Linked DNA regions of Saccharomyces cerevisiae S288C. Changing the gene in region 1 together with any one later gene gives a genetic interaction. Each region holds a gene or a part of one and is shown in the gene's direction. Other genes may lie near its edges. The genes, in order: DTR1, HSP32, YCL049C and SPO73.

The links.
Region 2: mutations in DTR1 (region 1) and HSP32 together harm fitness more than expected from each alone (negative genetic interaction), as found in Saccharomyces cerevisiae (one large-scale study listed by BioGRID).
Region 3: mutations in DTR1 (region 1) and YCL049C together harm fitness more than expected from each alone (negative genetic interaction), as found in Saccharomyces cerevisiae (one large-scale study listed by BioGRID).
Region 4: of DTR1 (region 1) and SPO73, changing one suppresses a phenotype caused by changing the other (phenotypic suppression), as found in Saccharomyces cerevisiae (one study listed by BioGRID).

Annotation. Positions count from the first base shown.
Region 1 is NC_001134.8:585,265-594,260, forward strand, and holds DTR1 (Dtr1p), read left to right. Parts: upstream 1-4,476; coding exon 4,477-6,195; downstream 6,196-8,996. Other genes in the region: EHT1 (medium-chain fatty acid ethyl ester synthase/esterase), read right to left, coding at 1-898; FZO1 (mitofusin), read right to left, coding at 1,283-3,850; 40S ribosomal protein eS6 RPS6B, read right to left, coding at 6,448-7,152, 7,505-7,510; SMP1 (Smp1p), read right to left, coding at 8,242-8,996. UniProt on the Saccharomyces cerevisiae protein: Prospore-specific dityrosine transporter responsible for translocation of dityrosine through the prospore membrane and required for the formation of the outermost layer of the spore.
Region 2 is NC_001148.4:7,925-15,737, forward strand, and holds HSP32 (glutathione-independent methylglyoxalase family protein), read left to right. Parts: upstream 1-3,962; coding exon 3,963-4,676; downstream 4,677-7,813. Other genes in the region: seripauperin PAU22, read right to left, coding at 9-503; phosphopyruvate hydratase ERR2, read right to left, coding at 1,633-2,946; FEX2 (fluoride transporter), read right to left, coding at 5,304-6,431; YPL278C (uncharacterized protein), read right to left, coding at 7,129-7,431; YPL277C (uncharacterized protein), read right to left, coding at 7,481-7,813. UniProt on the Saccharomyces cerevisiae protein: Catalyzes the conversion of methylglyoxal (MG) to D-lactate in a single glutathione (GSH)-independent step. May play a role in detoxifying endogenously produced glyoxals. Involved in protection against reactive oxygen species (ROS).
Region 3 is NC_001135.5:35,684-43,939, reverse strand, and holds YCL049C (uncharacterized protein), read left to right. Parts: upstream 1-3,215; coding exon 3,216-4,154; downstream 4,155-8,256. Other genes in the region: POF1 (nicotinamide-nucleotide adenylyltransferase), read left to right, coding at 1-279; SPS22 (Sps22p), read right to left, coding at 384-1,775; YCL048W-A (uncharacterized protein), read right to left, coding at 2,213-2,452; APA1 (bifunctional AP-4-A phosphorylase/ADP sulfurylase), read left to right, coding at 5,139-6,104; LRE1 (Lre1p), read right to left, coding at 6,324-8,075.
Region 4 is NC_001137.3:238,781-246,320, forward strand, and holds SPO73 (Spo73p), read left to right. Parts: upstream 1-4,399; coding exon 4,400-4,831; downstream 4,832-7,540. Other genes in the region: MEI4 (Mei4p), read right to left, coding at 1-843, 932-994; ACA1 (Aca1p), read right to left, coding at 1,252-2,721; putative AAA family ATPase SAP1, read right to left, coding at 5,030-7,540. UniProt on the Saccharomyces cerevisiae protein: Required for spore wall assembly and ascus formation. Involved in the formation and elongation of prospore membranes.

The DNA of each region.
Region 1 (8,996 bases):
CAATATTTTTGGAAAATAAAGTTCTTGACCACCAATCCTGGCTCATCCTAATTGCTGAAAGGAGAAGATCCCAAGGATTGCACAAAGTAGCAGCTGCGGATAAAGGTGATTTATCGCCCTCTTCTCCCAGATAGTTTGCCAGCATCGTAGCACCAAAAGAGCATCCCACAGCGTATAGTTTTCTATCTGGATGTCTTTGCTTTTCTCTTTGCAAAAACTCGCGAATATCCATTGTGTGATAAGCTGTAAATAAATTTCTGGTGGTAATTTTGGAACGTGCACAACCTCTGGTATTTAGGACGACCACTTGAAATCTCCCACTGCGAGACAGGTTTTCAGCAAGAGATCTTATAATCGGCTCATGACTACCACCAGCAAGACCATGTAGAATAACTACTAGGGGTAGATCAACCTCCCGTAGTTCTTCCAACTCATTATCTTTCAGGTACCTTGTACGTGGTTGTAAACGAGGCCATCCTTCTGGATGTGTCGCCTTCTCGTCTTTATCAAATTTTTTTTTATCAAAGCTCGTAGTACTTTGATCGAATTCATAATCCTTTTTCCATGAATCTATGAGCCAGTCAGCGGTGCAAACTCCACCATCCGAGAATTTGACAATTTCCCTGCCGTAGAATACAGGAAATTTCTTAGAGAAATCAGCAGCACCTAAGTACAAAGTTTGCAAAATACCTGTGAACAAGTAAGGACTCAATTTGAATTGGGCACCATTCTTCAACGTTGGGACATATTTGTTAGCGAACTCGTCAAAATCAACTTGCTCCTTGTTGTCTTTTAAATGGAGTTTAATGGAACCATTTTCACCGACAATATGCGAAACTGTACCATTGTATCCCCAATGGAATGGGTTGATTGCTGGCCATTTGGAAACTTCTGACATATCGGAAACTTTTATGAGCTTTGTTTTTTACGCAACTACTATCAATGTAATAATAGAACTTAAAAAACTGCTCATATTAATAATAAACGGAGGAAATACTCGAGGAGCTATTACTTCCAGGGACATCCGATATCTGACGCCTTTTAAAATCTGCACATGCGCAAGATTTAAAAAAAAAAAAGGATCTCGGAACCGGAACGAGATTGCTCATTTTTCGTTCCGTTTCCGCAGGTTTTGCAAATCATTAAGCAGATACACAAGGGTCCTTTTAATGTTTATGTAATTTCGTGCAAAGTGAAAAAAAAAATGGACCTGCTTGGAATAAAATAATAAGTAACATTATGTATATTGATTTGAAAAGACCTCATATATTTACAAGAATATCTAATCGATGTCTAAATTTATTTCTTCCACCATCAATTTTTGAGCCACGGTTCCTTCGTATAGAGATTGGAAGAATTTGATTGACAACAAGTTACTTTCTTTTTTGTTTTCCAATTCTTTCTTAGTGATTTGTTTTTTATCCATAATTATTTCACACGACCTTAGAATTTCACGTGTAGGTACACGCAAAACATCACGTACTTCATTTGAGGTTCTTTGAGCGTTAAGATGAATGTAATCCAGTTCTTGCAACTTTCTTTTGTATTTAATGGAAAGATTCATTGGTAAGGCACGGGGGAGGTCATGAATTAAATACGTAAGTCCCAACAAGGAACCTACCACTATAACCGGAACTGATAACTTCTTGAGTGAGCTCCACGACGATAATTTAATGCCGTTTAATATAATGTTCCCCACAACCTTTGTACTTCCTAGAAAGTACAGCGTTAGAGTGGGAATTTTTGATGTGAAGAGCAATGATGGTCTTGACCAATATTGTGTCAAAGGATAATTTTTCAAACCCAAATACTTCATTAGGCCAATCTGACCCTCGTTAGTTTGTCCTTCTATATCCGGCAGTGGTGCTGTGACAGGTTTCTGCCAGCTTAAGTAAGACAAAAAGCCTTTCCAAGTTGGAGCAAACAAATCAGTTATTGACAAAGATACTTTAAGCCTTTTTCCTATCAAATGCTTCCTTTTTCTAAACATTAGTTCGCTTCTGAAAACACGTTCACACATGAAATCATCACCAAGTTCATTTTTTCCAATCTCATAAATTTTTTTTACCAGTAAATCTGTCTTTTGCTTGGCAAATAATTCACTTGATCCTATTGACTCATCAATCTGATTTGCTATGAACGCTTCTGTTGAAAATATGAAGTCATAAATTTGACCGAGGCCCTGATATTTCGGATATTCGTGTAGCGGAACATCCAACGCATTGAGAAGTGCTTCTTTAGTATTGTTATAAGTCATTGTAATTGTTTGCTCGGCCATTTGATCAACGGAAGTTGTTAAATCATTGCACTTTGCTCTAGCGCTCAAAATTTCAGGTCTCAATGTTTCCAGTTGTTCGTTAATTTTTATTTCTTCTTCACTATACATTTTCATATTAGATTTGGAGATCATTATTATATCGCTTAATAATTTCGATAGATAAGTCTTGGCAGGTAACAATTTAGAAAGTGATCTTTTCTTCAAAACAAAATTGCGTAGAGAATCTTCCAGACTGTCAAAATCCGGATCGGGATCGCTGCTAGAATATGGGTCGTCGTCAGGTTTTCGGTCACCATGATCTTCATTGTCATTTTCATTATGATAATGTGGCAATTCATCTCCGTTTTTGGAAACAAAGTGGACAAAATCAGCTGCACGTTTATATGTTTCTGGGGACAGGTCACGGATTTGCTTTAGGATCAACTCCTTACAACGTTGTTTGTCCCTGATTTTGTCAAATTTTTTCACAACAAAAAACATTAATTTTTTCTCACGAGATGCTAAAGAAATAAACTCCTTGGCAGATAGTGTTAGCTGGTTCTCTGCATTGACAACAAATATAACTAAGTCGATTTCTTCTTGTCGGGACATTACTTCGGCGGTTTGTAACGAGTCCATGTTCAACCCAGGGGAGTCAATTAATGAAATATCAACAGTACCATTCCTTAATAGACTAGTAGAGGCAGGCCTTTTATCGTCCTTTATGTAAATCTTCAGTAAAGCATATTTTCCGTTTTGGGGAACCAAATCGGGAAGTTCTTTCAAAGTGTGTATTTCATAAGTCTTGGGATTTTGTATTGAATACATATCAATGGCTTCCTTGAGAGTCGGAGCAATGTTTAGTGGTATGGCATGAACCTCCTCTATGCCGTCATTTTCCCGAGCCTCTAGTATTTCGGAAAATACATTGGTACATGGTAGCTGATCCTCAGGTAGCAAACGCTGCTTTAATAGAGAGTTGCAAAGAGCTGATTTACCAGTATTTACATCACCTGTGATGAATACTTTAGATGAAACGTCATCCACTCTTTTTTTCAAAGCGTTTAAATGATTTGTCACTGATACGATCTGAGAGTGAAATAATTTTGATAAAGCTTTTTTCTCAATGTTGAAACCGTTCTTTTCTTTGGTATTGTACTGACCATCTAGCTTGATATTCAGTTGTAGAACATGTAATTTTTCCCGTTCATCATTTGCAGCAATAAAAATCGGGCGAATATTATTTTCTTCTTGAAGTTGATCCATAAAAGCTTGTGTCTTTAATATAGATCTTTTTAAAAGTACTCTATTGTTGTTATAATTCCACTGGCTAAGTTGTGAAGAAATTAAGTGTGCTTTTGAGTTGGAGGAACGCAATGAGGGCAACAAATCATCCTCCCTACGCCCCTCTTCACCATCAAACAAAGTGGTACGGTCATCAGTTACTCCATGGAAATTACTGCCTAAAAAATGACCTTCGTTGCGTGAGTAAGTAAGAGTTTGTGGTACTATTGTGGCGGCATCATCGTCCTGATCTGTGGAGTCCTTGTGCGGTTTATTGCTGTCTTTGAATTGTTGTTTTCCTTCAGACATCGTTAAATGAGCCTACCGTTTTGCCTCTATCCGTGATATCAGATAATGTTGCTATGTTCGGATGTACTTTGCTTTATTTATTAAGGGCTACTGTAACCTGCGTTATCCTGTTTCAATAATGCATCGTCCGTCTTAATTAATATTAGCCCGGCCATATTCTTCAGCATGAAAAGCTGTATTTACCCGGACTGCGCACCAACTTTTAAATATTAATCTCCGTTCGGTCTTTGCGCGAGTTATTATACTAGCGCCACGTATTAGTAATACTATAGCTATCTTGCCAGATAAGGGATCACAAGGAATTATATACCGTGGATCACAACTATCCATATCACTCTTCCCAATTTCGCGGAGAAATACTTATGCAGGTTTCCAAATCATTTCCGTAGCCAAAGCTGCCTGTTGGCCACTGTTTTGGCATCTCTCTACATTTTTTTTTTTCATTGATACTTTCAACCCAGACATTCTGTCACCTGGTGAAAAACGACACAAACTCCTTTGTAACAACAATTGCAATTTTAAGATATATGAGAATATTGATAAGGCTAGAAGGATGGTAGTAAGAAAAGTTGTTGTTGGTAATTTTTCAAAAAAGAGTTTCAAGAGCTGGGAAAAGAATTAAGGCAATGGGAAGCGAACCGTTTCAGAAAAAGAATTTGGGTCTGCAAATTAATTCGCAAGAAAGTGGAACAACCCGCTCAACATTTCATTCGCTAGAAGATCTAGGAGATGATGTAATTAATGAAAGCTGGGATCAGGTGAACCAAAAGAGAGCCAATATAGATCATGATGTCTTTCATGAGCACCCTGACTCTTCCCCATCATTGTCAGCACAGAAAGCAAAAACAAAAGAAGAGGAAGTTGCTGTAAAGTCATCGAACTCCCAGTCAAGAGACCCTTCTCCTGATACTCAAGCACATATTCCATATACTTATTTTTCCAAGGATCAAAGACTAATCATTTTTGGAATTATCATTTTTATAGGATTTTTGGGCCCAATGTCTGGAAACATATATATACCGGCTTTACCATTGCTGCAAAGGGAATATGATGTAAGTGCAACAACAATAAACGCTACAGTTTCTGTATTTATGGCTGTTTTTTCCGTTGGTCCATTGTTTTGGGGCGCACTGGCGGATTTTGGTGGAAGGAAATTCTTATATATGGTGTCGTTATCACTAATGTTAATTGTTAATATACTTTTGGCCGCTGTACCAGTCAATATTGCTGCCCTTTTTGTTTTAAGAATTTTCCAAGCTTTCGCTTCCAGCTCTGTGATTTCTCTGGGAGCTGGCACTGTAACAGACGTTGTTCCTCCAAAACACAGGGGAAAGGCCATAGCGTATTTCATGATGGGTCCAAACATGGGTCCTATTATAGCACCCATTGTTGCTGGGCTTATTTTAATGAAAGGAAATTACTGGAGATGGCTTTTTGGTTTCACTTCTATCATGACAGGAATAGCATTGATCTTGGTTACTGCTTTACTTCCAGAAACGCTACGTTGTATAGTTGGTAATGGAGACCCTAAATGGGGTGACAAAAAAGATGAACGTGAAAATAACGAATCTCCATTCTTCGAAGGTAATAAAATATCACATCGGCGTCTGTTCCCAGACATTGGTATCCGTAAACCAGTCAATAATGATGCTTTCTTCCAAGAAAATTTTCCAAAGCCGCCTAAAGCAGGTTTGACACTATATTGGAAAATGATTAAATGTCCTCCAATAATAATCACGTCCGTCAGTACTGCACTCCTGTTCTCCAGTTACTATGCGTTCAGCGTCACGTTTTCGTATTACCTTGAACATGACTACCGTTTTACTATGTTAGAAATTGGTGCTGCTTATGTCTGCCCAGGTGTAGCTATGTTACTAGGATCTCAATCTGGTGGGCACCTCTCAGATTATCTTCGTTCACGCTGGATCAAAAGTCATCCTAAAAAGAAATTCCCGGCAGAGTTTCGTTTATTACTGAACCTAATTGGAATTTTACTAACAATATGTGGCACAATAGGATACGGATGGGCAATCTTCTTTCATTATCATTTTGTGGTTCTTTTAGTTTTTTCCGCTCTCACTGCCTTTGGTATGACCTGGTGCAGCAACACATCAATGACATATTTAACTGAGTTATTCCCCAAAAGAGCTGCTGGAACTGTTGCTGTTAGTAGTTTCTTTCGAAATGTGGGCGCTGCCATTAGTTCCGCTATCATTTTACAGCTCTGTAACGCAATGGGAATTGGATGGTGTTTTACAGGGCTCGGTCTCTGCAGTTCAATTTCATTGATTGGTATATTATATCTTCTCATTTTTCAAAGAAAATATACTGCCAAAGAATTTTAAGAAATAGTTTATGTTTAGCTATAAAATTTAACTTTTAGAATTTTATTATATTATTTAACTTTCAAGAAAATTTTCTCATCACTCATCCCAAGGACTTCAAGAAATAGAACAATGCATCATAAGTTTATGAATTACGTGCATTTGGACCTTCAAAGAATAAAATCGAAGTTATAGTTAATTATATTAAATTAAGCCAAAAGTACATATATCTAAAAGGAAAAAGTATAAAAATTATGCAGGTCCAAGACATACTTAAGCCTTCAAAGAAGAAGCTCTTCTCTTTCTGATTTCGGCCTTTTCAGCCTTTCTTTCAGACAATCTCTTAGCCAACAATTGAGCGTATTCGGCAGCAGCTTCTCTTTGAGCTTGAGCGTTTCTGACCTTCAAAGCTCTTTGGTGTCTCTTTCTTTGCAATCTTTGAGGAGTAACCAATCTTTGGATCTTTGGAGCCTTGGTGTAAGTCTTTTCACCCTTGGTGACTTCTCTTCTGATGACGAAATCACGAACGTCATCTTCCTTGGACAAACCGAAGAACTTTCTGATGTTGTTAGCTCTCTTTGGACCCAATCTCTTTGGAACAGTAGTGTCAGTTAGACCTTCCAATTCTTGTTCACCCTTCTTGACAATGACCAAAGCCAAGACAGCCAAATCTGGACCAACAATGGCACCTCTGACGGACTTTCTCTTTCTTTCACCATCACGTCTTGGTCTGTAACAAGAAACGTTCTTGGTCAACAACAACTTGATTCTAGTTGGCAACAAAACACCTTGCTTCATTGGGAAACCTTGTTTGTCGTTACCACCAGAGATCTTGAAGACGTAGCCCTTGAATTCATCACCAACGGCTTCACCATCGACTTCTTGACCGATTCTCTTGTCGAAGAAAACACGAATACGGTGTTCATCATCAATTTCGAAGGTCTTTTGAGACCCGTTGACTGGGTAAGAAATGTTCAACTGTTATAAATAATACCATTTGTTAGTAAAGTTGTCCGAAGCCAATATCGACAAATTCCAACGAATCCCTGCTGTCCTTTCTTCCGTTACAGGTTTTTCTTATTTTCATTGATATTTCTAAACCCTTTTCGTAAATTCCTTTTTCATTCCTTAATTTGAACTTAGCGAGATATTTTCCTAAGTGTCGGTACGTGTATATTAGAGGGAATTATCTCGTTTAAACAACGTTGTTCTTGAGAATTTTTATTATAGTGCACTAATTTGTGGGTATACGTTTATCAAACAGTCAGAAACAGCCGGTTAGCGCGTGCTGATTCATTAGAATTCTAAGGATTTGGGTGATATTACATACCTTCATGATGGCTCAGTCGTCTATTCACACTGGATAGTTTCAATTAATGACTTCCAAATGTTTTGAAGGGCACACTATTCAAATTAAGATCACTTTTCATAAAGATGAATTTTTCTCCCATCAGGCATTCATTGACCGTGCCCTACAAACCAAGCCAGCCGAGATTGTATCAGCTCCACGCACATAGGATTTTCGCCTGCCCTTGGCCCATACCGAAAGAGTTTCCTAGGATGATGGGCCGGCATGAAGATAAGCGGCCTGTATGCCCGAGACACTGAAAAAAAACAGCAAAAAAATAAGATGTATGGAGTTCAAAGATGTATGGATGCAAGAAAAGAGGTTAATGGTGCAAACTGTAGAAAAAAAAGTAAGGAAATAATTTATTTTTAATAAAATTAACTGAAAAGATACATGTATATTTTTCTCAAATTAATCAATGCAATATGTGATATATTTGCTATCTGGCTTAATGAGATAATTTTTTACATAATTATGTTGAGAAGTTAACAGGGCAGTCTCTATTGTTTTGATCGATTGAGTGCACAAAAATTGGAAGGGGGCCGTGGAGCACTACCTGCAAATTGCTAGAAATTTGCGTCACTACATCTGAAAAATGTACGAGCGACATAATTGTCTATAGCCCTAATTTAGAAGACGTTTGCCTAAATGCGCCAACATACACTCTTAATTTTAAGCGAATGCTTTCTTGTAGTAAAAAGTAGCTAGAAAGCGATTCATTAATCTGGAGAGTTTGTCGAACTCGTGGATTTCAAAGTTGAACTAGCTACCGAGGAAGGAAAAACCACAATAGATGAAGACGGGCTTTTCGGAAATTTAGGCGGTCTTCCAATTGGCGGTTTCAGAAAGAATGTTTTGTTATTTACATAAGTGCTGCCACATCGGCCATTATGATATAAGTCGTCCATATCATTGTTCTTGAATCCCAAAAACTTTGAACGAGAAAGAGGGGAGGACATGTTGCTGGCGAGCATTTGATTGGGAGTGGCTTGTACATCCGTTTTCGGTGATGCGGTTCCTGAATACATTGCTGGCGACCTCTGGCAAGCGTCATTTGTGGCCTTCGGAATATTTAGCTTTAAATATGGCTTCCCTGAGAGCTTTCCTCTATTGCTGTTCAGTTGGTGCAGGTGATGGACCATCGCCTGCACTGGAGCTGGACCTTCCAAAGTATTTGATATAGCAACTGTCGGGTGTATCTTTTGCTTTGCTTCAAAGCTCTCGCTGTCACCCGTCCCATTAAATCCTTTTCCCATTGGGTTACTATTTGCCGGAATAACCTGTACAAATTGCGATTGAAAGGATGGAATATTGCCCACTAAACTTGCAGGCAATGAAGGCTTTGGCAAATTCTCGTAAGGCGACGGGTAAAAATTATGATAATTAGAGTGGTTAGATTCAGAAAGTAGTAAATGAGTATCCGGCCTAATCCTCTTGTTCATAAAATTCCTATGAATAGCCTCGTTTGCAACAT
Region 2 (7,813 bases), on another chromosome or scaffold:
GCTTCTCTCTATTTTGGAATAGCAGTGTAGATACCGTCCTTAGATAGAGCACTGGAGATAGCCGGTCTCAATCTGGTAGAGTACCATGGGACACCAGTGATGACTCTGGTGACTTGTTCAGCTGGAATACCAGTCAACATGGTGGTGAAGTCACCATAGTTGAAAACAGCTTCAGCAATCTCAACTGGGTAGGTCTCTGTTGGATGAGCTGCTTGAAACAAGTAGTATTGAGCCAAATGAGCTCTGATATCGGAGACGTAAACACCCAATTCGACCAAGTTGACTCTTTCGTCAGATGGAGATAGAGTGGTAGTGGCTGGAGCAGCGGCAACACCGGCAGCGATAGCGGCAACACCAGCAGCGATTGAAGTTAATTTGACCATTGTATTTGTTTTGTTTGTTAGTGCTGATATAAGCTTAACAGGAAAGAAATGAATAAAGACATATTCTCGAAGGCATATAGTTGAAGTATCTCTATTTATACCTATTCCTTCATTGGTCATCACCACTTAAACGATTCGTTAACAGATGCTCCTTTAGCACTTCACATATTCTCCATATCTCATCTTTCCCACAACTTCATGATCACTATGAAGATGTTTTTGTTTTTAAACGAGGCATGCATCTTTATAGATTCTGTATGCGAAGGTATTGTTTTCTGGGGCCTTTGTCTATTCGTATGCGCCGAATGTGAGAATGCCAGTTATAGGGGTGCCGAGGTGCCTTATAAAACCCTTTTCCGTGCCTGTGATACTTCCTTTTTTGGTATAGCAGAATGTCTGAATTTAGTTGCTATAGATCCTCGTTCAGAAGCGTATTGCTAAGCCTATCTCCAGTATACCCTAAACGATCGCCGAGAAAAAATAATACTGTACCCTCCTATTTCCCGGAATTGTACAGAATAGTAGGTATGTGCTGGGAGTCGTATATTGTTAGAGTCTGTAATTTTTACGCGCGCCTAGTGGATTCGTTGATACGATTACGTTATTCTAAACCGTCGCAAAGCAAATTGTGTTGAAGTAATTCAAGACTTTAAATCACTTGTACCAAAATCATTGTTGCGAAAACTTATCCTCAGTATTAGTTTCTTGACCGTAACAGTAGTTGAAAAAAATAAAATCATTTCTATGATCGATACACTTTCATTATTTAACTTCTCTATTATGGTGTAACTTCTTACTTTTGTCAGAAAAAAAGATTTCAAGACACAACAAGAATGGGGTCAAAGGTCTGCTTGTACTATCAGGAAGATTTGATACCAACCGCGTTATAAGGGTTACTAGAAAGTAATAGCTGCTAAAAAATTTAAACCGAAGAGATTAATCAGAAAGCTGAAAAACTGCAGTGTTAGTAGAGTTGTAAGCATTTCTTGATTGGAACAGCCTTCCCCCACACGTCCACCCTTGTTCAGACAGATTCGTAATGATTTTGTGTGTAGGCAATGGAAAACTTTAAAAACGGTTTGATTTCCTACAAGATAAAACATATGAATAAAATAACTTGTGTCAAATGCCCCATTTCCATACTGTAACCCAAATCAACGAAATAAAAAATAAAACCTCATATGATTTACTTTATTTAGTCATAAAAAAACAAAAAAAAAAAAAAAAAAAAAGGAAACAAGACAATCCTTTATAGTTTGTTTCCATCATGAAACCTATGACCAGCATATATACAATCGTCCCCCAGTTCCTCTTCGATACGCAAAAGTTCATTATACTTGGCCAGTCTTTCTGATCTCGACAAAGCGCCCGATTTAATTTGACCACATCTTAAACCAACGACCAAATCAGCGATAAACGGATCTTCGGTTTCACCTGATCTATGCGATATCATTACACCCCATCCAGCATCGAAAGCCTGATTGGCGGCTTCAATAGACTCAGTCAGAGTACCGATCTGGTTGAGTTTCAGCAACAGAGTATTCGCACATTTCTCCTCTATAGCACGGGCGATCCTGGTCTTGTTGGTGCATGTCAGGTCATCTGCAATAATCTGAACATTGACAGTCTTTAGGAAGGCAGACCACGAGGACCAATCATCTTCGGCGTAGGGATCTTCCAGGGAAATGATTGGGTATTTCTTTAGCAATGAATGGTAATATTCTGCTAACTGGGCTGGACTGAGCCAGTGAGATGGGTCAGAGTTCGGTTCCTTGAAATTTAGGTCGTATTTCCCGTCCTTATAAAAAACAGAAGGAGCACTATCGATTCCTACTTTCACTCTACCCTCGTAACCGCATATGTTAATGGCTTCCACAATCATGTCCAAGGCGTCTTCGGCAGTGTCAATATCGGGGGCAACTCCACCCTCGTCACCAACATTTCCAGCGGAAGGTCCATATTGCTCCTTCGCCAATATCTTCAAATGATGGTAAACTTCCGAACCCATCCTCATGGCTTCTGCAAAGCTCTGAGCCCCGACTGGCGCGATCTTGAATTCTTGCATAGCTAAAGAGCCACCGGCGTGGGCTCCACCATTCAAAACATTGAAAAAAGGAACAGGAATAACAAAGGGGTCCTGTCTAGCATCCGCTAACTCGGCTATATACTTGTAGAGAGTAATTCCCTTTTGTGCGGCAGCAGCTCGAGCAACGCACAAGGAAACACCAAGGATAGCATTGGCGCCCAACCTTGACTTGTTAGAAGTTCCGTCTAACGATATCATGAGCTCGTCTATGCCCTTCTGATTGGTTACACATAATTCGGACTTGATTAAAGCAGGCCCTATGATACTATTGACGTTACTGACTGCCTTGGTCACCCCTTTTCCCATCCATTCGGACTTGTTCCCGTCTCTAAGTTCAACAGCTTCGTGAATGCCGGTGGAGGCACCAGATGGGACGATCGCTCTGAAGAGACCATTCTCTGTTGTAATTTCAACCTCAACAGTCGGATTGCCGCGAGAATCATACACCGTTCTAGCATGTACCTTCGTGATGGACATATTTTTATCGTTGAGATTCGATTTTTTCCTCACCTTGTTTTGGTATTTCTATTGCAAGACAAAGTGAAAGAAGAAGAAGTGGTGGTAAAAAATAACTATATATAATGAAAATTGTAACCTGGTGGGAGTGCAAACTGTAAGTGATAACCTGCCAGATCCATGTTTCTATTATATACCTAAGAACCAGCCAAGTTAGGTAAACGAGGAGTCTTTCAATATCTCTTTTCTAGTGAGAATGTTATTTAGGTAAATGAACAAGTTACCACTATACTACTCACCCCCTACACTTTGTTTGTGACCTCTCCCCTTATCCAGTTCATCGAAACTTTTTTTTCAACTTGTGGCGATCTGTGACATTGTCTACTACAAGAACCGATTTTGGTTGATGTCTGTAAAAAAAACAACCTTACCTTTCCAGATCCAACTTTCCAGGAGAGCTGCGTGAGTTTCAAATATTTACCATGTCGGAGAAAGCTCCCAAGTACTTCCTTGTTCTTGTCATTTTTTCCTTATCTCCATCCTTTAAGGAAGGTATTTCCATTATGCGATTCTATAAATCCGAGCATGCGAGTATTTCTTTTCTTGGCGCGGAGTCGCTGATGACGCAATAGGCACATTCACGAACATCCAGGACTGGTAATCTTCTCGTCTTAAAGAAAATCCAACCACCAGTAAGAAACTCTTGGGTAAAATGGGGTATCTGAAATATTGCATAGCTGCAAATGAAGATATTCAGTATCAGCATAGGTATTTTCATGAAGGATAGGTAAAAAGAAAGAAAAGAAAAATATCTTTTTGACTGTTGTTCTTGCAATTATCACAATTAGGGGACTTTAAAACCGATACTTGATATATGAGCACAGTCAAGGGGCCGGTTCTTGAGATTTTAATGGAAAAGAGGAAAGTTGCACATACAGGTCTGCTTTTCTTTGCTTGCTCCAGACAACGATACTTAGAACTAAAACATATTTCTAGAACACTTTTCTCCTTCATTCAAAAAGAAAACTGGCCTTGCAATGACTCCAAAAAGAGCGCTAATATCTCTTACTTCATACCACGGTCCCTTCTATAAAGATGGTGCGAAAACAGGCGTTTTTGTAGTTGAGATTTTGCGGTCGTTCGATACTTTCGAAAAGCATGGTTTCGAAGTGGACTTCGTTTCTGAGACTGGTGGATTTGGCTGGGATGAACATTACTTGCCAAAGAGCTTTATTGGTGGCGAAGATAAGATGAACTTTGAAACGAAAAATTCCGCCTTCAATAAGGCGTTAGCGAGGATCAAGACCGCAAATGAAGTCAACGCCAGCGACTATAAAATATTCTTTGCATCTGCTGGACATGGTGCTCTATTTGACTATCCCAAAGCTAAAAATCTGCAAGATATTGCATCCAAGATATATGCCAATGGGGGTGTGATCGCTGCCATCTGTCATGGACCGCTCCTTTTCGATGGATTAATAGATATCAAAACAACAAGACCATTAATCGAAGGCAAAGCTATAACAGGTTTCCCACTCGAGGGTGAAATCGCCCTGGGAGTTGACGACATCTTGAGGAGCAGAAAATTGACAACGGTTGAACGCGTTGCAAACAAGAATGGAGCCAAGTACTTGGCGCCAATCCATCCCTGGGATGACTACTCTATTACAGATGGAAAGCTAGTTACGGGTGTTAACGCAAATTCTTCCTATTCGACCACAATTAGAGCTATAAACGCATTATATAGCTGAAACAAAAGACAAGGGAATTGTTGAAGGGGAGGCTTCTAATGGCTTTCAGTTTCTGTGAAGAGAAGGCTAACAGCTCAATGGTTCGAAAGGTAAAGAAAACGGCAGGTCGGTAGCACTCGATTTTGCTAGAATGGAAATCATATAGAGAACAATTGAATAGTAGGCCTTGGTTTTTAGTGTTGTACTCATCATGGTCATATGTGACATAGGTAATGTACATATATATATAAAAAAAAAAAAAGCAATGCTGTGAGATCATTCGTTACTTACGAAATACGCAGATTGCAATTTGAAATAAGCTGTGTTTTCTTTTTTTTCCTTTTTTTTTCTTTTTTTTGGCTTGTTATATACAACTTTTTTCTATTTCTGTTCTTTTTAGAAGTAATTAATTGGTACATAGGAAATAAATATGAATTATATTAAATGAAGTAAAAGTAAAAGAAAACGGGGAAATTTATCGTTTTGTAGTAAATAGATGATGGAACGCATTCATAAAATCTCACAAAATATTACAATAAACCGCAGTAGTCGGTAAAAATGTATTATACAACGTCTAAAATCTTGAAAATGAATTAAAAAAAAAAAAAGGTGGGATGATTGTGCAGGAAAAGGTATGAAGAAAAGATCCTAACAAATCGGGTTAGTCAATCCTCTAGTCCAAGCATAGGATCCGAGAGTTATCACCAATAAGCAATATGAAATTCCAATCGAAACAGTATAATAAATAAGCATGTTAATAAATGATAGCTTATACCCTTCATTGATAAACGTGCTAATGGTACTCAAAGTGCCGCAAAATCCGGATATTAACGCAGAAACAATATGGCATGAATTCAACGAGTTCACAATTGGAATATCCGTGGAAAAGTGTTTTTTACCACGTTGCACCATGGTAAATATGCCAATCAATAAAGTGGCGAAAACGTTTGCCAAGAAAGTACCCAATGGAAACTTTTTGTTTGTTTTATTAAACATTTCTGCCAACCAATATCTTAGGAAACCAGCGAAAATTCCAAATAGACATGGTAGTGTCCACTTGCCCCTCGAATAGTTCTCATAATACGCACACAGCACCACAAACAAAATAATTAATGGAAAAGCTAGTGCGTACGCGAGTTTATCCACAACATCAAAAAATTTCTTAAAAAATGGTGCTGGAGTTTTGAATTTAAACTCTAGAATATTTTTTTCCATTTCTTGTGTATCAACATCACCAGCATTTTCCTTTACAGTGTCTGAGGGAGGGGTATATGGCTTCGAAAACGAACTAGATCCATAAGCAACAATAACCTCCTTACCAAGTTGCCTACCGAAAATAAGACTACCCATGGAAACCATAAGATGAACGAGCAAGACAGATAAAAACTCCATTATACCGTAAGCTCTGTTCGGCAGTTTTGTGTGGTTAGCGATATTACCGTTAGTTAAGTTTGTAGAGTGTTCGAACATCTCTAGCAGCATACTAGAAAAGGAAGACAGGGCACCACAGTACCCAGTAGTTACACCTAAAAACAAGACTTGGTGATCTTTCATCCAAGTGTAAGCATTTAAAGATTGCATAATCCCCATTAGCATGCAGGATGAACAATTAGACCAGAGAACGGTCGGAGCAGTAACGAAGGCCGGAGTGTAGGTGGAAAGCGCCGTTATAGCCTGACGTGTTTCAGTACCTAATATGCAGAACGTGGTGAATGTACAAAAAACATGAATATAATGGCTCAACTTGTGATTTGATATGACCGGATTGAAAATCATCAGAGCATTACACGCTCGATTAAATAATTAAATAACTGCAGATTCTTGAGCCACCAGACGCTAAATAATAATGGCGGCAATAAATATAATCCTTTAGTACTTATTTCAGTTGTTTTTTGTTTTATTTTTTCCGTATCTCTTCCGTATCTCTTCCATCATTGCGTCAAAAGTGATTTACACTGCTACATGAATCGCGCCACTTTATGTCAGTGAATCTTTCATACATCGCAACTCCTCACTGACAGTGACTCTAGCAGAGTCACCATCTTTTCGATATACCCATCAAAGTGCACGATTCTCCTCCCCTGTTAGACAATCGTAACGTAATATCGACATGTATTCGTAGCACCGCTGCCAAATAATTTTCAGATCGTTCATTGTACATGAACCAAGCGCTGTTGCTTTACTTTATGATATTGCTGCTGAGCTCCCTTGTCTTTCATACGACGTTTTATCTTGATTTCATATCTTTTTTTTTTGGTAAAATAGAAAATACTCAACAGATATCTGATATGTATATAAACACTAAATAAAGAAAATCTTAAATCTTGCTGGCATGACTGTCGCTGTGTCTCAAATCTCTTAGTAATTCATAGATGTGTATCACCCCAAATCTCAAAAACTTCATAATTATTATTGGATTATCTAGAAATCATACCCTTCATACTGTCCCACAATGGCCTGCTCACATGAGGCGCTAATGATTACGATTAACCATCAAATCATTTATATTGATACACTGTAGTTTACTGTTAATAACCAACCTTTGTCGAGATTCATCAAAGTGGGTTCCAAATCCCTCATTGTGGGAACCTGGTTCAGTCATACCCATTGGAGATGGGCCCCAGGAAGGAGTGTAACAAACTTCATCCCAATTGCATTGCCTCTCACAACGGTAATTTAGTTCAATCCACCCTAGAGATTCAATTAAACCATCGATAGTGGAGCGAGCCGTTTCGACATTCTTTATTAAGTCGCTGGAAGTTGTGTTATCTGTCATAAAAGAGTAGACTTCGGGTATCAATAAATCATTCACTTTATAAATGACATCAACAATTTCTCCGACAACGCTGACAGCAGATGACCAAATCAAAAAGTCTGCATCCGTTTTTAAGGCCTGGTATGGGCTCACATATTGGTAGACAAAAGTTCAATGTGAGTGCTGTTGCATTGATGGCAATTGACTCATTAATATCACCATCGCTGTTCAGTATGTTACTAACAGATTTTAGTAATGGAGCAAATTTAAGGACAAGCTCATCAAATGCTAACTGCCAATCCATACTTTGCGTGGCATCAAATCCGACTTCCAGCGCCTTTTCTAAGTCATCTACCATGTCCAATTGCTTTTCCCATGTCATTCCTTCATCGAGTAATCTTCT
Region 3 (8,256 bases), on another chromosome or scaffold:
TCTCAATTATATTGCTTGGCGAGAGGCGATTGCCATCTCAGTGCTGAATCGCAACTAAGATACGCCAGTGACATCCTTGAGGGAAAATTCGAACCGGTAATACCAAGAGAATGGGGCGCTAGGATTCATGTTATGCAAAATGATTATCCAGCATTAAGAAATGTTTCATCATCCGAGATTAGGAACAAACTGAAGAATGGGCAAGTGGAGAGTTTGAAAGACGAGTTGCCATTGTGCATATACGATTATTTGATCAATAATAAGACAATATTTGATTGAAAGAGAAAGATAGAAATTCAAATGCCTTTCATGGAGATATATGTATATAGATAAAGATAATATTAGGAACAAAAAAAACTTTCTGTTATACTAGACTAGTAATCTTAAAACAATAACATAGCAACAAGGCATGTACCAAAAAGAAGGGGGTCCAATTGCATGCTTGGATTTGCTGAGTTCGCGTATTTTGAAATCACTCTTTTCTTGGAGTCTTCACCTTCTTGCGTTAAATCTTTGTACCCTTTTTCTATGATTGTACCATCCTGTTTAACATTCAGCGTATTTTCCTTCTTACCAGAAATACAAGTGAATTTCCCACCCCTGATGATTGATCTTCCATTTGATGGGTTTGTCCATTTATTGCAATCCAACACGTTTGATGAACTCTTAATAAAAGCGCTACCTTTCACCAGTTTCAAGCTATCGAACATGATATCTTTGAACGAACCTTCAAAGAAAATAGCACCTCCAATCTGCTTCAAGTTTGGCAGGAAAGTAATATCCTCGAGGGATTCGTTATCGGCGATCATCAAGCCACCTTGAATGTCTGTTAAGTTCTCCAAATTAACTTTTATTAAATTTACATTGTTGATAATTCCTAATGTTCCACCAATCTTCTGCAAATTGTTCAGGTTCAATTCGTAAAAGTAATTTTCGATGAACTCTAAAGAGCTTTTCACTTTTGTTAATTGTGGAAGGTAGACCAATGATGTGTCCCTAATCGTTATGTTTTCCACTTCTCTCAAGTGTGGCATTTCAAGTTCTAGCTCCTTAGCGTTCGCATGTACACTGAATTGTCCCCTAATGGTTTTAACGTTCGAATGAATAGTTTCTAAAAATCTGTTATTATTGATATTGAAAGTATCAATTTCCTGAACCTTGTTGAAATTCTCGATGTTTGCTAATGAAGTATCCGATATGACAATATCCTTTATAATCTCAATATTCTGAGAATCCATGGAGACGTAGTTCAAGATGGGAACAACTTTCCACTCCAGTGACTGACAAAATTTCAAAGTTGGAATTTCAACAGAAACCAAAGAGGTTAGTCCCTGTAATTGGAAGAGCCCTTCGATTTTATTCAAGTTCCCGGCTTGGATTCTGATCAGTTCAGGTGAATCCTGAATAATCAGGTCACCACCAATGGCCCTCAAGCTGTTCAAATCCAAAATGTTAGAATCATAGTTTGTGACTTTTAATGACCCCAAGATGAATTCACATTGGTTTTGTAAATGAAAAAGATCATGAGACGATTCAATGACGTGCAAATCTTTTTTACACAACTCTGATATCGGTGAGTTTGTGTTCAGACTCTTGACATCTATTTCAAAAAACGGTTCATTTGCTCTTCTTTGAAGTTCGAGATTACCGTTATGAAAAGGCTTCACATTATGTGGTCGCCTTGGCGGATCAATAGCGGCACCCAATGCATGTGTCACAAATAATGATGCAAATATAATCGCGAATAAACAACTTTTCCTAGTAATACGGTTCATAAGTCGATCAAGTAATGAAAAAATGGCTTTTGGTTTTCCTTGTTGTATTTCAGATGAGATATCTTACCAACAGAACAAGTTTCTCTATTGTATGTCACAAAAGGATATAGCTTCTCCAAAATCTTTCTTTTTTATATTTTTTTTTTTTTTTTTTTTTTTGAATTAGTGACGCATCTTCTGTACAGTAAAGAGAGAAAAAAAGGGTATAATAAAACAGTTAAGCTATACTATAGTAGCGCATACACACAACGTATATACATCTAGTATTAAATATTAGTAATTATTAAATAACGAAAAAATAAATTATGGTTGAAATAGAATCAAACGTAAAGAACAAAGAAAAAGCTTAATGGAACGAAAGTTAAAAAGCTCCCCAATTTTGAACAACGGTTATGGAATTAGAAAGAAAGAAAAAAATAAAGGAAATAAAAATGTTCCTAGAATAAGAAGGCAACACCGGCAGCGATTGCTGCTCCAAAGGCACCCGCCGCCATGGTATTAACTACGGCTTCGCCAATCGAAACTGTCGTAGTCACCGAAGCGGTAGGAAGAGTAGTATTTGGCTGCGTAGCATTTGGCTGCGTAGCATTTGGAGTAGTGGCGTTAGGTTCAATGCCAACTTGGGCGTTGATAGCAGTGACTGTAGCTAGAACAGCGACAATGTTTTTGATTTGCATTATTTAACGGAAGTATAAGGTTTGAAAAGGGAGCTTTAATTGTTTTAGCCGTTATCGATTTAGCGGTGAGAATGAAATAAAGAAAAGAGGAAGAAAAGACATTACATACAAATTTTTTTCAACTTAAATGGAGGTTATGTACTTTCTTATATAGATGCTAATCTTTTTTTTTCATCTCATCACAGATTTACGTCGTCAATCTACTAACTTCCCTTATCTTCCCTAAAGGGTATCTTACGTTTCCCCTTAGGGAAAATGAGTTTTGTCCCACCTTCCCTTTGGGAAAAGGCAATGTAAATCTTAGAGGCAAGAACCACACTTGTTGATAAGATCAGCTGCGTAACAGTGCGCTAGGCAAAGGGATGGAATAAGATAAATCCCTTGTTATCCCTTTGCTTTTAGTCTTATGTTGGGGAAGTCCACAAGTTATTGTTACATAAAGGAGGAGAAGAAAACTAGGGGAATATTTATAACACTCGCATTAGCTGATCGTAGGAAAGCAACACAAAACATATGCATCAGCTGGCCCTGTTTGTCTTGCTCATCGATTGATTTTGCAAGCAAAGCTGGGATACCCGAATGTGTATGGTTTTCCTTTTTTTGGTATTTTTCTCCTATAAACGAGCTTTTTTTCGTCTTGCATTCAGATTTAAATAGCTGCTTCTAAATATATACTTTACGCAAGAGGGTCCGGTCCCAATAGGAACCAAGCTATTGCAATTCCAGGGTTCAAGAGAGAAAAATCTGTAATCACTTCGAACCAATGTTTAGTAAATACCTCGTAACTGCATCTTCCCTCTTTGTGGCTTTGACCTCTGCAGCATCTACCGTTGATCTAGATGCTCTGCTTCTTCTACCAGGGGTCGAGTCCCACGACGGCGTTGATACTGTATTTTCGACCAAAGACTTTTATCAAGTGTCATTCGTCAAATCCATTGCTCCTGCTATCGTAAACAGCTCCGTAATCTTCCACGATGTTTCTCGTGGTGTGGCTATGGGCAATGTCAAGAGCAGAGCAAGTATCTTCAACCCAGAGGAAACGTATTACGATTGGGAACAGTACCAAGTAGTAAATAACGGAGACTGGCGAACCGAATGGGCACCTGCCTCTGACTGCATTTGGAGGGAGGAGAAGGATAACAGCGACGAAACACCGGACAGATTCCCCATCTCGGTGCCATATAATTGGACGTCACAGTACTCAATTGTAGATTATGACACAGACGCTAACGAAGACAATTTAGATTTCAGGTTTATTAAATCATTGCTAGATAAGAAAAATTGGTTGAAAAAAATTAACCAGACTGTTTCCCAATCCAGTATTATGGTAGCACCAATGATTAGGCCATACAATGTGGTCCAGCTTTGGTATTCAAAAGATATGGTTTGGGCAAACGTCCAAAGACAATATTGTAGCGGTGTTTATCCAGGAGGGACTCAATGTAGCGCTTGGTCCAGGTACTACCATGTTGATGCACCCACCTGCGATGAGCCTGTCGCCTCTTACATGACCAAAATGTTGGAAAATGAGGTTCAGTGTCCCAATGAGAGAAACGCAACTACCCTAGAGCCTCTCCGCCTGAATAAGCAGGGAGACTCTGATTTTTCTTTGACTTTCGAGGAAGAGGAAGAGGAAGAGACAGGATCTAAATCTCTTTGGAGTACATTGAAAAAAATTTTCTCTAAAAGAAGTATAAGTTGATCTTAGTTGGTAGCACTTTGATGAGGTCTCTAGCAAAAAGTCTACAAACAAATTCTTGAAAGTGTTTGATTGTATATCGATATATCAGAAACATACATATGATTTTTATCTTGTGAATATTCATCAAACTCCGTTTTTAGCCCCCGTGTAAGTTACTTTAATGAGTATTTGATCCTTTTTTTTATTGTGTTGGTTTTTATATGTTTTGTTATGTATTGTTTATTTTCCCTTTAATTTTAGGATATGAAAACAAGAATTTATCAAAGAAAAAAATCTTAGCTTTAAGAACTACAAAGTAAATAAAAAATAATAAATCACACCGGACAGTACATGAAACTGGACATATTTGAGGAATTTCTTTTGAAGAGTTGAGCATTCAAACTGGCCGGTCTTGCTGTGGCCTCAATCCACTTGAGCTCCAAAGAAGGCTCTGAAATGCTTATTTTTTTCAAGCGATACAAAGTAAACAGTTACATACCTGAATGATACTACCACAACTATTTACATTATCGTCCTGTCAAAAGGCGAATAATCAGAACTGTTTGTTAACATGTCATTTTATAAGAGCGGCCTGAAATACTGTCATAAGTGGTCTGTCGAAAGTAGTTATTACGGCGTCGGGCGTCGCGAATAGCTCAAAAGTCACCCCAGCTTACACGATATTCCCATAACCTACAGCAAGAAGCTATTCTTGGATACAAGCACCAGTTACAAGCACTGCATTCATATATTGCCTTTTACTTTCCTATTCTGTATTTGTGTGCTAAGTGTCCTGTTTCGGAACGTTCTAGAAGATTTTCTTATTTTTCTCTTTTTCAGTTTTTTTTTCATCACGCAAAGGAAATACAATACAAGGTTAAAATGAAGGAACTAACATTACTATTATTTCCAATTTAAAGTTTACCTTAAAAGACAATAGATTGATCTTGAAAGCCAGTTTAGATAGATTTTAGAACAAACAGAAAAGTAAAAATTAAAATAAAAATGAGTATCCCCGCTGACATTGCATCTTTAATTAGTGACAAGTACAAAAGTGCCTTCGATAATGGTAACTTAAAATTTATCCAGACTGAAACAACGAAAACAAAGGACCCAAAAACCAGCATGCCATACTTGATTAGTCACATGCCAAGTCTGATCGAAAAGCCAGAGCGTGGCCAAACTCCAGAAGGAGAGGATCCACTAGGCAAACCTGAGGAAGAATTAACGGTTATCCCAGAATTTGGTGGTGCCGATAACAAAGCGTATAAATTGCTATTAAACAAATTCCCTGTAATCCCTGAACACACTTTATTGGTAACTAACGAATACCAACATCAAACTGATGCCTTGACCCCAACCGATTTATTGACTGCTTATAAGTTGCTGTGTGCCTTGGACAATGAAGAATCCGACAAGAGACACATGGTCTTTTACAATTCTGGTCCAGCCAGTGGTTCTTCATTGGACCACAAACATTTGCAAATTCTGCAAATGCCTGAAAAGTTCGTCACTTTCCAAGATAGACTATGTAATGGTAAAGAACATTTCCTACCAACTTTCAATACTGAACCTTTGCAAGATGCTAAAGTCTCGTTCGCTCATTTTGTCTTGCCAATGCCGGAGTCTGAAGAAACTGTTGATGAAGACCTATTAGCTATGTGTTACATCTCCATATTGCAAAGAGCTTTGACCTTTTTCCAGGACTGGTTGAACGAAAATCCAGAACTAAAGAAATCCTACAATCTTATGTTAACCAAGGAATGGATCTGTGTCGTTCCACGCTCGAAGGCCTTTTCTGATGAAATGAAGATAGGTTTCAACTCCACAGGTTATTGTGGTATGATCTTAACCAAAAATGATGAAGTTTTCTCCAAGATTACTGAAAAACCTGAATTGATTAACGATATCTTATTGGAATGTGGTTTCCCAAACACTTCTGGTCAAAAACCAAACGAATACAACTATTGAGTCCTTCACAAGTACAAGTATACACGTATACATGTATGTATATATATGTATTTAAATGATAGAAGTAATTTCTATATGTATATGTCTATTCAATTTTTATTTCTGATGACTTTGAAATTTTATATTTATTATTCTACACTTTATTATTAAAACTACATGCAATCAATGCCGTTAAGGTTACGATTCACCTTTTTATTACTTATTATTAATATTGTTGTATTACTTCCTTGAAAAAATATGTCTAAAGAGTCCTAATTTGGATTTTCTTTTCCTCCTAACTTCACTGTCCTGCGCCTGCTTTCCTAACGCATCATCGCTAATACACCAGCTTTCATTGCTTGTTGCTGCGCTGTTGCTCGCATGGAACGTTTTCAGTGCGTCATCATCCTGGGATAAACTAAAGACTAAGTCACCAGTTTCATTTGAGGCTTTTCTCTGCGCGTTGACAAAAGAGGACAGATCAACCATATCACCTGGTTCACCCATGAGAATGTCCTTACTTAGTTGCGAATTGGTTCTGATCTGCCCTTCAGACTTGGAATATTCATTACTGTCATTACTTTTAAGCCTATTCATTTCTTCCTTGCCATCAGGCGTACAGGATTTGACCACAGAGTGTTGAAGGGGTGCATCGTCCGCTCTCGTAATAACCCCTCCGATACTATTTTCATTGTTGACACCGTTGACTGAAAAGGGCATGGACTGTGCATTAATGTTTTCATTTTTCATCATATCATCATATGGCATTTCATAATGTTGACTCTTGTAGTTGAAGATTGAGTTTATCGTGTTACTGTTTCGTCTACCTTTCATATTATCAATCAGGTTGCGGTGTTGCATGTGGGAGATAGGACTGCCCGATCTTCTTCTTCTCGATTCTCCACTAAAATCCTGTCTTTTATCGCTATCCAGCACACGATTAAGCTGTGAATTGCCGCACTTTTTAGGATAACCATCCTTGGCATATCTAGGGTTATCTTTTAGTGGAAAATTATCACTTTCTAAGTTAATGTCCGCATTGCTGTCATAAAAGGATACTGGTGTTGCGGGAGTAGATGCTAGTTTAGAAGGGGTATAGGCCAGGGAAGAAGGTGTCATTGCCTGATTGATTGTCATTGAAGCAGCCGACCTTTGTTCTTTTGGAGATTGCGAGTCACAGCCTACGGTCAAAGGTAGCTGCTTCGTATAATGATAATATCTTTGCTTTTGGCCTTTGATCTTCAACGAATTGAATGTGTTGGAATTCCGTGCATTGGCGTTTTGCATCCCATGGTTGTGATGGGTCGGTGACCCATTGAGAGCTGAATCATCTACATCAATGGCCTGTTCAGATACACAAAGGGAAGGCCGCAGTGGGGATAATAGTGCTGTTGGAAGCTTTTGCTCATAATATTCATTTTTCGATTCTGGTTCAATTAAGGAGTCCTCTTCTTCTTTAATCATAGAGTTAGAACCGGCTGCACAATTGCCCTTATCTACCATAACCTCCAAATCAGGAGGAGCGGATTCAGATCTTCTATGTGATTTAAATGACCTAGGCCTTGTCTTCAACGCATCGTCAAGGTTAATAATGGCATCTGGGACGCCTTTAACTGGCGATGAAAAACTTGGCTCTTCACTAATGAAAAATCGTGGACTTGGTGTTTGCAGATTGTTCTTTGGTGATAACGGATAAAATCTTGGTTCAGGCAAATCTAACGTTCCAGCGTCTTCATTGGTTTTGCAAGGAAATCTATTGTAGCGTATTGGCGATAATGTACTTGATACAGCAGTTGGGGCAGTTGAAGGACAATTTTCAGCCGCCTGTGGAGGTGGTAAATTCACAATTGCTGCAGGCTGTTTCAAAAAATCAAAATCTCCTGATATTGCTAGCGATCTGCGATGGCGGTGACCTCTTTTGGATGGTGTAGACAAAGTATTTACAGGATTTGGCTCTGATATTTGCACATGTTGAGTATGCGTATTGGGCATTTTCCTATTCTGAGAAGGAGTATGAAATAATTGCCGAGGGTTCAGAATGCTCTTTTAGAAATAAAAATGAATGTAAATAGTTGGAATGTATCTTTAAGTAGACAAATGCAGGTAAGTTTTAGTGGCCTTTGCGGATTAACAGTATGCTCTTAGTGCAAAACACGAAAAGAGCTCCCAATCT
Region 4 (7,540 bases), on another chromosome or scaffold:
GTACGCCTTTTTCCGGTTGATGCATATTAGTTTATGCTTCGATACAAATCTAATAAGTACATGTATCAGACTTTCGATGATGATAAGTATGTGTTCAATTAATTTCAGAACAGATACGTATTTTAATATCTGCGGTTCAAATGTTTGGTTTGTCTTGATTTTGATGAGTTGAATGTTAATAATAGAGTAAATAAGGGTAAAATGCAACGAACACAAGCGCTTGTAGTCAACTTTATCACATAAATGTTTGCCATCTCCCTGGTCGTAAAAGTTTTGAAGCCATTTTGGATCGTTTTGGTTCTTCTTCAATAAAATTCTATTAAACAGAAACTTGGCGATGAAATTGAAAACATGAACGTCTATCAGTGTCCTCTTAAAAGAAGAATCAGAATCTATGCGATGCGAATAATGAGAAACTAACAAGATTTGGAGTGTTTGAAACACTTGCGATAACCCTCTAAAGTCAATTTCTTTTGTTTTTAAGCTCAGGATTTTTAGCAGAATTTTATATCTCGGTAAAAACCAGTTGTTTATATCAGCAGTTGATACATCTTTGCTAAATGATTGCAGCTCCTTTAAACCAACTGCATCTTCGAAGCTTTTGTACTTATTCTGGCAAAGGAAATTGTATATAGGTTCCAGATGAGCAAACAGTGATTTATTATTCAAAAATCCATTTTCGAAAGGCGCAACCCATTTGTATATATGTTTTGAGTTTTCCCGAGGATTTATTTTTAAATTTTTTTCACTCTTGAGAGCACCTACATCTTCGACATCTCCTTTCTTTCTTGAAAGTGCCCTCTTCCACAACGTAGGATTCCTGGATTGAATTAAAGCAAAACACTGTCATAGATAATATTCGAGGAGATTACACCTCTTACTAAAAGTTAGTAAAGAGAAAATAGGTTAAGGATGTGACAATTTCACGTACGATTATCCAGTCAACTTCCGATGTTTCCTTTTGTTCCATATCTTCCAGTTTGCCTCTACTCATGTCCTTACTCTTCTAAAAGATTATTTAATGAAACTGTTTCACAACTACAAGATGTTTGTTATGTTTTCTTTTACAAGTCGGAAACATTTAGCCGCCCAGCAATATATATGACTCCGAAAGAAAATGAAAGGAAATACATACATAGTAAAATAAATCGTTTAAACATAAATAATCGTACAGAGGAAAACATTAAGGAAGGAGAGTCAAACTAATGTACTGGGAATTTGGATCTCCCATAAGAAGTATGCGCAATACTTTTATTCATCATATAGACTGGAGCTGCGTATCATTTCTTCAATCATTTTCAGAAACCCGTTAACATCACTATCCTTGTTTTGAAGGCTTTGATAACTATTATTACCACCATTAATTGTGCATTCTTGCATGTGCAACCTCGAAATTTTCTTCATTTTTTGAACCAATTTTTCGTAATTTTCAATTTTTTTCTTCATCATTGTGTTTTCTTTGCTTATTTGGTCAAATTCCCTTTGAAGTTGTAATTGTGACATTTTCTTTCTCTGTCGACACTTGGAAGCGGCAATTCTGTTTCGTTCTAGTAGCCTTGCACGCTTCCAAGCTTTAGCACCGTCTTTCAAGCCTGCAGTATTGTTCTCTATTTTTTGGGGTCTAGCTTCCTGCTTTATTTGGAAGGTTGCTGTAGTGTGCATAGAGGAGAAGGGCGCGGTATGTACGTCTTTCTCACTATTAATATTGTTTTTCAGTGCAGAAGTGGCATCCTTGTATTGTGGTTTTGAGTTGGCATGTGTTAAATTGACATCAGGGCATTTCGATTCGTATGGAAGGCTGCTTGAAATATTCAACTCGGCATTTTGGCAGGAATTATTAACAGTGTGGTGATTAACGCCATGGGAAATTGAAGAATGGACGGATTGATTTTCGATATTATGATCATTAATGTTTTGGCAGGAAGAAGAAGAGGAAACGGAAGAATTAGAGGCTGGAGTACATGGATGCACATTCAATTGAGCGTTTTTCCATGCCTTAGTTTGCATTTGAGCTTGTAATCGGAGTTGCATGTTGATGTAAGCCTGATTCATTGTGGAATCGCCAGATGGGATAGAAGGCGTGGCAGAAGGAATGTCACAAGTGGCTGCTACTGCGGGTATGTTAAGCTTTATATTGCTATCATACGGGGTCATTGCAGCGTAGATATTCTTGCTACCTGTTTGAGGTGCAGCTTCGGGTATGACTGTAGCTTGTTCGTGTGGTTGTGGCACGTTTTGCAATTCGTTCGAGCTAAAGCTTGGGTATATGGCTGCGCTTGGATTTGCCACCTGTTGAGGATTGGGATTCTGTTGCGCCTTAGACGATAGGATCGGAGGCTGACAGTTGTAAAGATTTTCAACCGTTTCTAAGTCTTCGCCTAATTGACTAATCTGACCATTGGAGATAGATATGCGTCTTTTGTACACGGGCTGATCAAACGCTGGTAAAGAACTTTGAAAAATGGGAGGGTTGGTAATGGGAAGATGGCTGATGTCGACGCCAAAGGGTTGAAACATTGGACCCAGGTTTTCTTGCACGCTACGGTCATGCAAACTGTTTTGGTGATGAAAATTGTAGGCAGAATCCACAAGACCAGGACCCGATGGTTGTTTGTATATAAGCTCCTTGTTTGAAGATAGAAAATCTGTATATAAGAGTGGGTTCTGCCTTCCATCTAGGAAAGAATCTGGACTTGTAGCAAAATTATGCTTATAGTCCATACTTTATTTGGTTCCTTAGTCGTTACCTGGTGTTATTCCAGTACTATTAATATAACTCAGTACAATTAGCTGCCGTGAAAAAAAAAAAATAATAAGAATACAGTTTCTGCGCTTTTAGTCGGTAAGCACTCAGATTGAGAGATCTAGATTTACTATATTTTAATAATAACCAGTTAAAGCAGATTTTGAAGATGAACTAACATAAAAAAAATTGATGAATTATGTAACATAATCTTCTGTACCACCAGGGTAAATCGCCAAAGAATATCTGCATCTAAGAACAAAAGAAAATGGTGCCCTAAATATCTTTCAGATGAAAAACTAATTATATATCACTACTAAAAAAAGCCAGAAAAAGAAAAAAAGTAAAATAGAAAATAGAAAATAGAAAATAGAAAAATAGAAATTAAAATTAAGAGCATTTTAAAATTAAGTCTACAAAGTAATACTTGGCATATTGCTTAACTCCTCACGCAGAGCCTTAGCGTACCACTATTTTATCTGATACCACAAAAAGCTGCGCTTTGATGGCCCAACGGGGATATAATCGCGCCACTGCTACTCATGTGCTGCAAACTAACAGTGCCAGCAGAAGCGAGCATTGAAAAACTAAACTTTGCCTTGTTCTGCTTACTTCATGCAGAGGTACAGCTTCGATGTCCTAAGGTTGAACATCATCTTGCTTCGATTTCGGTAGTAATCATTTTGCCTGCACGCCATTGTATGAATCTCGTGCCACTCCCTTTTTAACTCCGAGATACAACTTTCCGTGGGGAAAAGTACCGTAGTATTGTAATTTCGAGAGCATCTTTACGGTAATTGCCCCTCCACACCCAGACGTTACACAACCCTTAGTAAACAGCTGCGGAAAAAAAGTGTGCCTACGCACTGTACGACTCCTGATTGATTCCTTCATTAGCACTGACTGGCTTACGGTGCACATAAGTTATTAAGAGCAGTTTAATTCAGTTGCTGAATAGTCACGTTGATGAGCACGAATACCTGAAACACCAACGGTAATGAATCAATTGGCCTAGCGCATCGTTGTGTGCTTGGGTGTGCCGCACAATGGCAACCAAATACTGCTCGTTCCTGCACTTCGAAAGAAAAGCAGCCAAAAGAAAACGCGTTTTCCTTTGCGAGCGCTGGTTTGTTCCTCAGTTTGATAGAGGCGTTCAATTGGCAATTTGGGCACTAACACCGATGATAACAAGATATCTTGACTTTGACCTCTGATATTGAGGCGTTCCAACCAATAAGAGGGGCTGACGGTTGAAAATAAGGGTAAAAGAGAGCTATTCGGGTTGGGTCGCAGATTAACTTAGAAAACATGTACATGCAAATGTTGTTTTTTACGTACAGAAAGAGGCTGATGGAACCAAAGGAAGCAATAATTTGCACCTTGATATTTTGCGCTTTCTGCTTTTGAAACCTTATTATATGCCTTTACATATACTGTCACGCGACATTTTCACCTTCTACAGTGTTTAATGAAAATCTGGCTTGTGTGCATTATCTTTTTTGTGAAAGTTTATCTCCGCTTAAACAAAGCGATTGAATCTTGTCTACGTAATTGGGCTCGTGGGACCAAAAGGCTACTATTTTCCAGGAAATTGAAGACTTTGCAATCGTAACAAGGTTTCTTTCATCGTTAAAATACAATCATACATAGAGATATATGGGCAAAAACCATTTCTTGAAGGATTTCTCTGCTTTACCGGAGGACGTACTCATAGAAAACGAGAGAGGCATAACTTTACTTGGTTACCCACTATTTTCTCCCAAGATTTTACTGCCTCACGTTGACCCACCACAATTTCAAAGACTAAACACTGAAAATGGCTCGTTAATTGCCCTGTCGAAAAATACTATATCGAACTTCATAGAACTGTATCCTATCGATCTGAGTACTGAACGCACTGCAGGCAGTAGCAGTTCACAGATGACAAAGTGGTTCGTACTGATGGATTACAAGGAAAAGTACGATATTGACGATCAAGGATGGTGTTATAGCTGGAATTTCAATAACTCTAGGTGGAAATCGAAAAATGGCTTGGTGAGAAGAAGGGTCTGGGTAAGACTACCTACGACCAGTCATGGATTAGATTAGTAATAGTTTACGCTAATATTAAATTGTTTAACAAACTAAGTAGTCAAAAAAAAGAAAAAAAAAAAAAAAAAAAAGAAAAGGTGACATTATGCAGAACATATTTTATCGATCCGCTTATGTGCACACAGTTTGTCCAGCTAGGCTAGAATATTATTTATTATTACCATTATTATTATATTATTATTATTATTATCATCATCATGAACCTGATGATCCGAATTGTGAAGCCCACTTTTCGTACTTCACTAATCCGTCCTGGGATACAGAGGGCTTGATATACACTAAACTGTTCTTAAAATCCACAAGGCCTATGGGTCTTATCATCTCCCTCTCTGTTTCTAATAACTTATCACCCAGATCTCGTAGTGGGCCCATGGCAGCATCCTTCGCTAAAGACGTTATATCACTTCCTGAATAGCCCTCAGTAATCTTTACCAGTTCATCAAAATCTGATTCGGTTAACGTGTGCTTTTGATGGGAAAGAAGCTTCTTAAATTGAACGTGTCTGGTCTGGTCCTCTGGTAATGGGATATATTGTCTTCTCACAAATCTTCTCCTTGCAGCCTCATCAATAGACCATGGTAAGTTTGTCGCGGCAAGTACCAGTACCCTTGTATCATCTTCGTCGCCATTGGTGTCAGAATTGTTAGTGTTACTTTTGTTTGAACCAGCCGCTGCGCTGGACAAGGATGACCACTGAACAAGAAATTCATTCTTTATCCTTCGGCTTGACTCATTTTCATTTTCGTTATTCCTACTACCCATGATAGAGTCAATTTCATCAACAAATATTATAGAAGGTGACAATTTTTTGGCAATTGCAAATAGTGCCCTCACTAATTTTTCACTTTCACCCAAGTATTTAGATGTCAAACTGGAAGCACTAATAGAGAAAAAGGTGGAGTGCGACTCTGTAGCTACAGCTCTCGCTAGCATTGTTTTACCTGTACCTGGTGGTCCAAATAAGAGCATCCCCCTGACTGGTTCACGTAACCCCCTGAATAAGTCTGGTCTCAAAAACGGATAGACAACTGCTTCCTTCAAAGAATATTTTGCACTTTCTAAACCAGCAATATCATCCCAATGAACTTCATCTCCGTGCACTACGATTTCGGCAAAAATTTGCTTTGCAGCTTGCCTATCTACACCTTGTAAACTATCAATAATTTCATCTTCTAAAATCTCCCTCAGGACTTTCTTGTCTATTTCAGGCTCTTCTCTTTGCTCATTTAGGGAAGTGGCATGTTCAGTGGCATCTTCTGTTCCAACATCTTCTATTTTTGGAGAACCGATTTTTTTTTGTGCTGGTATTTTTCGATTCGTTTTACTCATAGACGTGGTTTGATTTTTCGATGGCTTCTTATTCTGGGATGCACCATGCGAGTATGGTTTTGAGTTACTTACAGGTCTGGAAGGATGGCTACTCGTTTTCTTCGAACTGGAATTTGGGACTTTCGCCGTTTTGGATTTCAAAATGGGGTGACTCTTCTTCGTAGTGTTTAATGCGGGGTTACTCGCAACCTTTTTGCTGTTCAGAACTCTCTTAGCAGCCATTGCAGCCGTTTTGGGTTTTTGAATTACTGAATTTGGAACAGTCAGAGAAGAGGTCGGAGACGATGCATTGGATTTGATGATTGGTTTTGTATTACTTTTTGATCTTGTAATAAATGTTGGCGTTGATTTAGTGATAAGAGTGGGCGTTGATTTGGTACCCTTTAAGTATGGTACGTGATTATTCTTCATTAATTTTGATATTTGAGGATTCCTAATCTTTGATGAATCCATAGTAGTAGAAGTTTCTAAACTATGTGGCTTTAGAGCGCCAGTGCTGGACGCTCTATCGACATTTAATAAAGGAGGTGGAGGTAATGAAGGAAGAGCAGGGGCGGTAGTCGGCAGGGACTGTATGCATGATCCGGGAACATTTTCTGAAGAACTTACACTCTTATTACTGGACGTAGAAGAAGTAACAGACAAGTCAGACATTTGCTGTTGAATTGCTTCTAACGTTTTTATACGTCGTCTTTCCTCTTTTTCTTCTTCTTCTTCTTCTACGTCGACTTCGGAGAAATTATCATAGTAATCGGACACATCAAACTCGAAACCATCACTTTCTTCTTCATCAAAAACGTTGTGTCCTTTTAAAATGCCGACATCGTGATCATCCTCGTCATTAGTCAAATCTATCAATATTGGCTCTGAGATATATTTATCTGAGTACAGTTCAGTTTCCTTCTTAAGTGGAGGATCATTGTGCTCAATAGGGTTCTTGTGCTGTCTGCTTGCATTGTTGGATAAAGGCTTAGAAGGTACAAAATTTACTCTAATGTTCTCCGCATCTTCTCCGCGTTTTATCGATGTGCTGTTACCATATGATGATAGTGAGGGGTTGGAGTATGCGGTTTTATAGCCGCATGCATTTCTATTTCTTAATGTTTTCATCATTCTTCCGGGAACCATTTGGAATACAGGAGGTGGTTCAGTAGACCTTGTGAAAGATGAGCTATGATTAGTGTATGTTTTGGATGACGGCATATCATTCCTGGGAGCAGGCTCTTCTCGGACCAATTTTTTGACTCTTTTCAAATGCATAACGCTCTTGTGGTACAATTCTCGAATACCGTTCTGTAAACTAACTTCATCTTTCGTGTATGATTGAGTATTTGGGTAGTTATGCTCTATCAATGTCTGTTTGAATAGTACATCAGT